Canis lupus familiaris: one gene and its partner. The protein of the gene in region 2 interacts with the protein of the main gene of each other region in a pairwise test. Links are inferred from orthologs where the notes say so. Each region holds a gene or a part of one and is shown on either strand. Other genes may lie near its edges.

What was found. The genes of interacting proteins can lie anywhere in the genome.
Region 1: the proteins of FATE1 (region 2) and NDUFB11 interact in binary tests that used the Homo sapiens proteins (3 or more experiments, as listed by UniProt). The two-hybrid records come from large-scale screens. The link is inferred for Canis lupus familiaris from reciprocal best matches to the Homo sapiens genes FATE1 and NDUFB11.

What each region holds. Positions count from the first base shown.
Region 1 is NC_049260.1:40,947,002-40,950,940, reverse strand, and holds NDUFB11 (NADH dehydrogenase [ubiquinone] 1 beta subcomplex subunit 11, mitochondrial), read left to right. Parts: upstream 1-1,135; 5' UTR 1,136-1,354; coding exon 1,355-1,561; intron 1,562-3,046; coding exon 3,047-3,177; intron 3,178-3,344; coding exon 3,345-3,471; 3' UTR 3,472-3,571; downstream 3,572-3,939. Other genes in the region: RBM10 (RNA-binding protein 10), read right to left, coding at 537-801. UniProt on the Homo sapiens protein: Accessory subunit of the mitochondrial membrane respiratory chain NADH dehydrogenase (Complex I), that is believed not to be involved in catalysis. Complex I functions in the transfer of electrons from NADH to the respiratory chain.
Region 2 is NC_049260.1:120,980,269-120,984,410, forward strand, and holds the start of FATE1 (fetal and adult testis-expressed transcript protein), read left to right. Parts: upstream 1-1,335; 5' UTR 1,336-1,430; coding exon 1,431-1,536; intron 1,537-2,559; coding exon 2,560-2,687; intron 2,688-4,142. UniProt on the Homo sapiens protein: Involved in the regulation of endoplasmic reticulum (ER)-mitochondria coupling. Negatively regulates the ER-mitochondria distance and Ca(2+) transfer from ER to mitochondria possibly implicating it in the regulation of apoptosis.

The sequences.
Region 1 (3,939 bases), about 80 Mb from region 2:
GGCCAGTTCCAAGAAGACTCCCTATGGATAAGGACCCTTCCCCATGGATAAGGACCTGAGTTACAGCAGAGACTGCAAGAATAAAGACCAGAGTCATACAGACGTTTTCCCTCCTCCTCCTCCTCCACCCAAGAATAAGAACCAGAGCCACGGAATACTTTCCCATGGACAGGTAAGTGCCCAAGTCACACAGAGAAGACAGCACACCCTCTCCCCTATGGATAAAGACCTCGACCTCTCCACGGATAAAGTTCCGTGTCGCAGACACAGTAAGCCACATTAGCCCACTCTCATCGGTCCCTCCCTTCCCCCAACCCGCGTGCACCCATCCTGTGCTCCAATCGCGCACGCGCCTCCGCTCTCTAAACCGAGGGGGGGGGGAAGACACCCCCCTCCCGGGCTCAGGCCATGCACCCATCTCCTGGTTCCGTGCGTAGCCCAGGCCCACATCCCGCAGTCCGCCCTCGAGCCTCCTCTCCGCCCCCGCCCGCCCCCGGCCCCTTACCTCCGCCCCCACGACCAGCGACGACGCTCACCTTCTCGGCCCGGGCTGTCAAGGGAGGGCTCCCGGACATCACCTCGGCGCGCCGCCACCTCCTCCAACTCTCCCAGCTCAGCCGGAGCCGGCCCGCACCACCGCCAAGTCCGAGGCTGGAGGCAGAAGGGTGGAGGAGCGGGGAGGGGAGAAGCGCCAAGCGCGCTACCCTCCCCAGGAAACCCACTGCCGCCTACTCCCAGCCGGCTGCAATCACCAGCACAAAATGGCGACGACGAGCAGAGAGCCGGCGCTTCGACCACCATCCACCTACTAAGGGAGCGCGCTCTGGCCGGCCTCGTCTATTGGTCGCTGGCCGCCGACGGCCAGCCCTGGCCAGCTCTGATTGGCAAGCGTATGCCACCTCCCCACTCTCCTTGCGAACGCTCGCAAGTCTGGAAAAGGAGTAGCTATTGGCTAATCCCGCGAGGCCCGCTTTTTAGAAGCTTGGCTTCCTTCGAAGATGAAAGACAAACGGAAACTCCGCCCCTTCCCCCAGAGGGCGAGGGAAATCTCCGTGCCATTGGCTGGGACTTGCACCCACCCAAATGTCAACGCTTTCTTATCAAGGAAAGGGGCAGAGTTATCCGCCAGAAACTCCTTAGCCTGACGGGGGGAGGGGGAGGTTAAGAAAATGGTCGCCCCCATGAGGTCATGACAGAGGGCTACTCAGCGCCTCATCTCATTTGAGAAGCAAATCCAATCTCGGGACCTATTTAGTGCGGCGGGGCGGAGCGACAATTGTCGCGCTCGGGTCAACTGCAGCTGCGCACAATCGCATTTCCGTCCCCGCCCCTGAGAGCCTGCAGAACCATTGTCATGGCGGCGGGGCTGTTAGGTCTGGGCGCTCGCCGCCTTTTGGCAGTAGCGGCGACGCGAGGGCTCCCGGTCGCCCATGTTCGCTGGGAATCCAGCTCGTCCAGGGCCGTGATCGCCCCGTCGGCTGTGGCAGGAAAGCGGACGCCGGAACCGACTGTACGCTGGCAGGAGGACCCAGATCCGGAGGACGAAAACCTCTATGAGAAGGTGAGAGGGAGGGGAAACGGGTCGCCAGAAGGGTCAATCGGGGGCCGGTGGACGGGGCGCTGTAGAGGACGTTCTTAGGCGGCTGTGGATTGCGCTGCTGGTGAAATCCTCGAAGACTTGGGAACTTTCCCTAGCTTGATTTCCTTCTTTGTCCTCTGGTAATCTCAGGTCAGGGCCAGAGGCGAGACTGCCTTTATTTTGCAGACATATATCAAACCTGAAGTGAGCAATGCTCAAAACACATTAGAAACAGTACAGTATGACAATGATACTCACATGGTGCTTGCTCAGTGCCCGTGCTCTAAACGCTTGACTTACGTTATCTAATCCTCAAAACAACCCTGTTTAGAAGTAGGTACTATTAGCATACCCATTCTACAGCTGAGGAAACTGAAAAATAAAGATGTTAAGTGACTTGCCCAGACTCGCACAACTGAACGTGTGATCCAACCAGGTCTGCTGGGCTGTGGTGATAGCAGAGACTCAAATCAGAATGCCGGAGTTGGAATACAGGCATTGACAGTTACTCATCTTGGTGACCTTGGGCAAGTAGCTTATCTCCTTGGTGCCTCTTTGTAAAATGGGGAAAGTATTAGGACACCTTCTAGAAAATAAAATACTACATCTGCCTGATGTAATCAAATGGATCAAAATGCTCAGAACAGCAGTTGGTATTTAGTATCCAGCATTAGAAGGTGTTAATTATTGTTGCTACTTTCTGCCTTACTGGGATATTGTGATGTTTGTGTGTGGCACACAGTAGGTTATTCATCAGTACTGTCCTCTGGCTTGGGTATATAGAATGTTTATTCACTTATTCATTCATTTTTGTGAATAAGGAGCCAGGGCCTGTTGTATGCCAGGGGCAGTTCAGGGCTCTAGAGGTTCAGCAATGTGGAAATCAAATAAAGCTCATGCTTTTGTAGAGCTCATATGATAATGGAGAACACAGAAGATAAACATGTAAAATATTTGGAAACAGTAACATTGAGTATGTAATATATAAGACAATGTGTTAGGATCTAGGGAGATGCTACCTTGGTAAACTAGTAACTGCTAGAAAGGAAGTTCAGTAAGATAAATAGATGGAGAGTGACTTAGGGGTAGAGGGTAATTTTATTAGATGAAACTATAGGAAATTGGCTATATTCAACCATTTTTAACCTATAAAAGTGGCAATTTCCTGTAGTTTGGATAAAGTGACTAGGGAATGCTCTCTAAGGGAAGTGATTATGAAGCCAACACTTTGAATGAGGAGACAGATCTAGCTATGACGAGATCTGGAGGAAAGGCTTTCCAGGCAGAGGGAATAGCAAAGGCCCTGTGGTAGAAAGGAGTTTACAACTCCTAAGACTAGAAGGAGGAATTAAATGAGAGAGAGGAGATTGGTCTGAGGTGAAATCGGAGACCAACTGATGTAGGGCCAGCATAAGGCTTTTTGTGGAGCCACAGGAAGCCCTCATTGTCCTCTTCTTCTTGCCATAGAACCCAGACTCCCATGGTTACGACAAGGATCCTGTTGTGGACCTCTGGAACATGCGGGTCGTCTTTTTCTTTGGCTTCTCCATTGTCTTGGTCTTTGGCAGCACCTTTGTAGCTTATCTGCCTGATTACAGGTGCATGGGAATGTCCAAGAGAGTGGAATGGGTGGGGGTGGGGGCGGAGGTTGAAGGGGACTGTGCCAGGAATCCCATTCTTTGTGCCAGTGGGGAAGGGGGAGCTAAGATGGGGATTGGTGTCCAGTGAAGCTCCCTCACATCTTCCCCCATTCCACTGCCTCCAGAATGCAGGAGTGGGCCCGCCGGGAAGCTGAGAGGCTTGTGAAATACCGAGAGGCCAATGGCCTCCCCATCATGGAATCCAACTGCTTTGACCCCAGCAAGATCCAGCTGCCAGAGGATGAGGACTGATCTGTTACCAAGCGGGGCTCAAGAAGCATCACCTTCTCCACTGCCTGCCTGTCGTTCTGCCGTTTCTTTAGAGCACCTAATTAAAGGGACTGAAAGTCTGGCTGGCTGGTGTTGGTTTTGTTGTGTGTGGGGAGGGGGATGTGGGAACAGGGTGTCGGGTCTTAAAAGACCACTGCAGCCTTTTCCGGGTGTTCTGGTTATCTGTTGCTGGGTAACGAACACCATAAGACTCGATGGGTTAAGATGACAATTTAGTATTATCTTCCATGGTCCTGTGGTTGACTGGGCTTTAGCTAGGTGGCTCTTCCTGGGGCCTTAGGTGGTTGTAGTCAGATGGTGGCTGGGGGGCCCAGGGGTATCTGAAGGCTTAACTGGGATGGACGTCCAAGGTGGCTTCTTCACTCACATATCTGGCACTTTGGTGTCCTTCCATGTGGCATCTCTCTCCAGCAGAATAGTCTGAGCTTC
Region 2 (4,142 bases):
TTTCCATAGTGGCTGCACCAATTTGCATTCCCACCAACCGTGCGTGAGGGTTCCTTTTTTTTTCCATGTCCTCACCAACACTTGTTTCTTGTATTGTTGATTTTAGCCATTCTCACAGGGGTGAGGTGATACCTCATGGTGGTTTTGATTTGCATTTCCCTGATGATGAGTGATGCTGAGCATCTTTTCACATGTCTGTTGGCCATCTGTATGTCTTCTTTGGAAATAAGTCTATTCAGGTCCTCTGCCCCTTCTTAAATTGGATTTTTTTGTTTTTCTAGTGCTGACAGTTGTATCAGTTCTTTATATATTTTGCATTTTAACCCCTTCTCAGATACATCATTTGCCCATATCTTTTCCCATTCACTAGGTTGCCTTTCTGTTTTGTTGACAGGTTCCTTTACTGTGCCAAAGCTTTGTATTCTGATTTAGTCCCAGGAGTTTTTGTTTGCTTTTGTTTCCCGATGTTGCATTCTTGAGCAAAATTTCTTCTTCGCTGGAAAACCTCAGTCTTTGCTCTTCAGGCCTTTCAACTCATTAAATGAGGCCTATCCACATTATCAAGGATTAGTAATGTCTTTTACTTAAAGTCCACAGAGTGCAAATGTCAACCAAAGCTCCAAAATAACTTCATAGCAACACCTAGACTAGTGTTTGATGGAATAACTGGGAACTATAGGCTACCCAACGAACAGATAAACTTGACCCTCACAGTGGTCTAATCATTAGGGAAGCTGAGAGAGAATTTGGACTTAGACCAGGGACTGCAGGGCCTGCCTGGGGACAGTGGGCCCTCCAGTGGCTACAGGTAGATCCCTTCTTTCCTGCCCTTCCCTCCTTAGATTCTCATGGTTCCTGCTCAGACTGACCCAAGGCATTAAAAGGCCATCTCCCCTGGGAACTCTACATTGGGGGGAAACAAGATGTGCTCTGTAGAGGATGCCTCCTGAGGGGAGCTGTGGCCTGAAATACTTGCCAGAGCTGGGCTTGCAGAAGCCACAACAAGTTTGGGATCTAACCCTGTTCTGGCTACTGACTGGCTTTGGGGTCCTGTGCCAGTATCTACCTCTCTTTAGAAATGATGGAGAGTAGATCCCACTGGCCCCTCAATGGGGCCAAATCATGTGACCCGAGAGCCAGGGTAGTTCTCACAGGCAAAGTTTCTGAGATAAGTATCAGAAACTCCTCCTCCTAAGTTGCTTACAGAGTAGCAGGGGAGAAGACTGTGAACCAAGCCAATAAGATACAACAGGAACACAAGGTGCTGGGTCCAAGGCCTGAGTCCTGTGGGAGAGTGTGGCTCCACCCCCATGGCCAGATATATCTTCCTCGAGCTCCTGCCCCTGGAAGAGCAGACTTTCCAAGAGTCTGCTCTGTGCCCGGCTTCCTGTGTATCCTGGCTATAGCTTAATAGCTAAGCGCTAGCTGTGATGGCAGGAGGCCCCCCTACTATCAAGGAGGAGATGGAAACATCCATCGCTGAAGAGCTGGTTCCTGGAAACTATGGGAAAAGCCAGGAGCACCTGGTGATAGCAGGTGAGGAGCCCCTGTAATGTCCCTTTCCTTTGGGTGTCTGCACCCAGTCACATGTGTTGGAGAAGGTGTGTTCATGGCTGGGAAGAGTCATATATATGCAAGTATGTGTGGCTATGTGTGTGTCTGTGCCTTGGTGTGCGTATACCTGTATTTGTGCCTTGATGAACAGGAAGCTGGGGGGGAAAGGTATTGATGATGTGAGCATTTTGAAGCCTGTGAGAGAGTAGGATGGGATCCACATGTGTGGTCCTTATCTCCCCCTGTCCAAGCTACCACTGTGTTTATGGCAAAGTATCCAGAGCGCTCAATTTATAAGATCATTCAGACCAATTCTCTCTCCTTTTTAATGCCTTTTCCTCCTTTAGAGTAAAATCCAAACTCCTTTCCTTGATCTACAAGAGCCAGCCAATGCCACCTCCTCAATATATTTCATGCTGTGGTATGATGACCCACAGCACACTGCATTTATACTTGTCCTCATAAGACCCGAAGGCTGATTCTTCCTGATAGCCTTTGTGTTGACTGCTACCTCTGCCTGGGATGCTGTTTTCCTAGATTTTCCATGGCTGCCATCATTTTTGTCTTTCAGGTCTCTGCCTCACAGGTGTTTCTGGCTTTTCTAGAAGTAGCCCTTCCTTCCACCATGTTGCCCTGTTCTTATCATTTTGGGAGCATGTATCTCTTGATCTGAGTTAACACTGATAGATTATACCCATTTTGCACCCCTCACTTCAGCTAAGCACACATAGACAGTTGATTACTAGATTGCTGAGATCTTGTGTCTTGGTCATTGCTCTCCCTCCAGTAACCTAGCCCAGAGTTTGGCCCTCAAGAAATACTTACTAAACTTTTAAACAAATGAACAGACTGAGGCTTGGGATCTGCCAGGGGACAACAGTGAATGAATATTGAATGACTCCTAAGAAGTTTGGGTACCTTATCCTCTTTCTGGTGTGTCCTGTGTCCAGGAAGCCTTGGTATAGCCTCTATGGGTGTTTCTGGGGCCTCTCTTCTTTTGCCTAGAAATGATGGAGCATGGATCCCAGTCTGTGGGTGCTTCTCAGCGGCGACAGAAGGCGGATCCAAAGGCTGCTGGCTCTGCTGCAGGTCAATCGGGTTGGAATATGACTGGCAACCGGAGCAAGAAAGCGGTACTGTATGGAGTCCTTGGCATGCAGTGGCTAGGCTGGGGTTGGGACAACAGACTAAAGGGGCTCCAGCTTCATGACGGTAGGTTGAGCAGAGCCAGATGTTGACTTGGGGCCAAAGGAAAAAGCTTTTGTGTACCAGTGAGGCAATGAAGGCAGGGATGTCCTTTGAGAGGTCAGGGCCATCCTTTGGTAGGCTGGGAGCTCAACCTTGGGTTTCCAGAACACCGGATTCACATATTCCTTGGGGACTACATATACACTTTATTTTGCAAAACTCTATTGTGTGTGAAATGACACTTTCCTTTATAAATAAATAATTCTATATGTATATTTCCTTCCATATCTATATTATCTATATTATCTATATAAATTATAACTATATAAATTATTTAATTATCAACTAAATAATCAGCCTGGAATCATGAGAATCATTGATGAATAAAAGGAAGGAAGGATAGGAAAGAAAGAATCTGTCTGTAGCCATTGGAGGCCCCACTGTCCCCATACAGGTCCTACAGTCTCTGGTCTAAGTCCAAATTCTCCCTCAGCTTCCCTAATGATTAGATCACTATGAGGGTCAAGTTTACCTGTTTGTTGGGTAGCCTGTAGTTCCCAGTTATTCCATCAAACACTAGTCTAGGTGTTGCCATGAAGGCATTTTGGAATTTATTTTATTTTATTTTTATTTTTATTTTTTTAAAGATTTATTTATTTATTTATGATAGAGAGAGAAAGAGAGAGGCAGAGACACAGGAGGAGGGAGAAGCAGCTCCATGCACCGGGAGCCCGACGCCGGACTTGATCCCGGAACTCCAGGATCGCGCCCTGGGCCAAAGGCAGGCACTAAACCGCTGAGCCACCCAGGGATCCCCATCATTTTGGAATTTTAGTTAGCATCTACACTCTGTGGACTTTAAGTAAAAGACATTAGTAATCCTTGATACTGTAGATGGACCTCATCTACGCTATTAAATAGAAATATACATACATAAAACAATATGATTCTCAAGTCTGGAAAAAGATTAAGACAAGTTAGGTTCCTATGTTCCCTGGCTGTTAGGAAATCCAATCAATTGAATCTGACCATTATGTAGCCAATCCTTTAAAGTACCTTTAATGTGGGTTAAGAAAAGCTCTGGAAAACTGGCAGGTACACTGTTACAAAGGATACTGGGAAAAGGTGGTCATTTTGGAGAGGAGGGAGACCTGAGTGTTCTAGGGAATCCCGTGAGATCTCTCACTGTGTAGCCAATCCTTTAGGTTACATTCACTGCTAAGTGAGAAGAAGCTTTGGAAACATGGTTGCTATACTGTTGCAAAAGTTGCTGGAAAAAGAGAACCCAGTTGGAGAGGAGAGGGACCTGACTGTTGAAGGGAGTCATCTGAGTTTCAAGTTCTGTATCCAATCTGTTCCACACTTTCACTGTGAGGGAGGGAAAGCTTTAGAAAAATGGT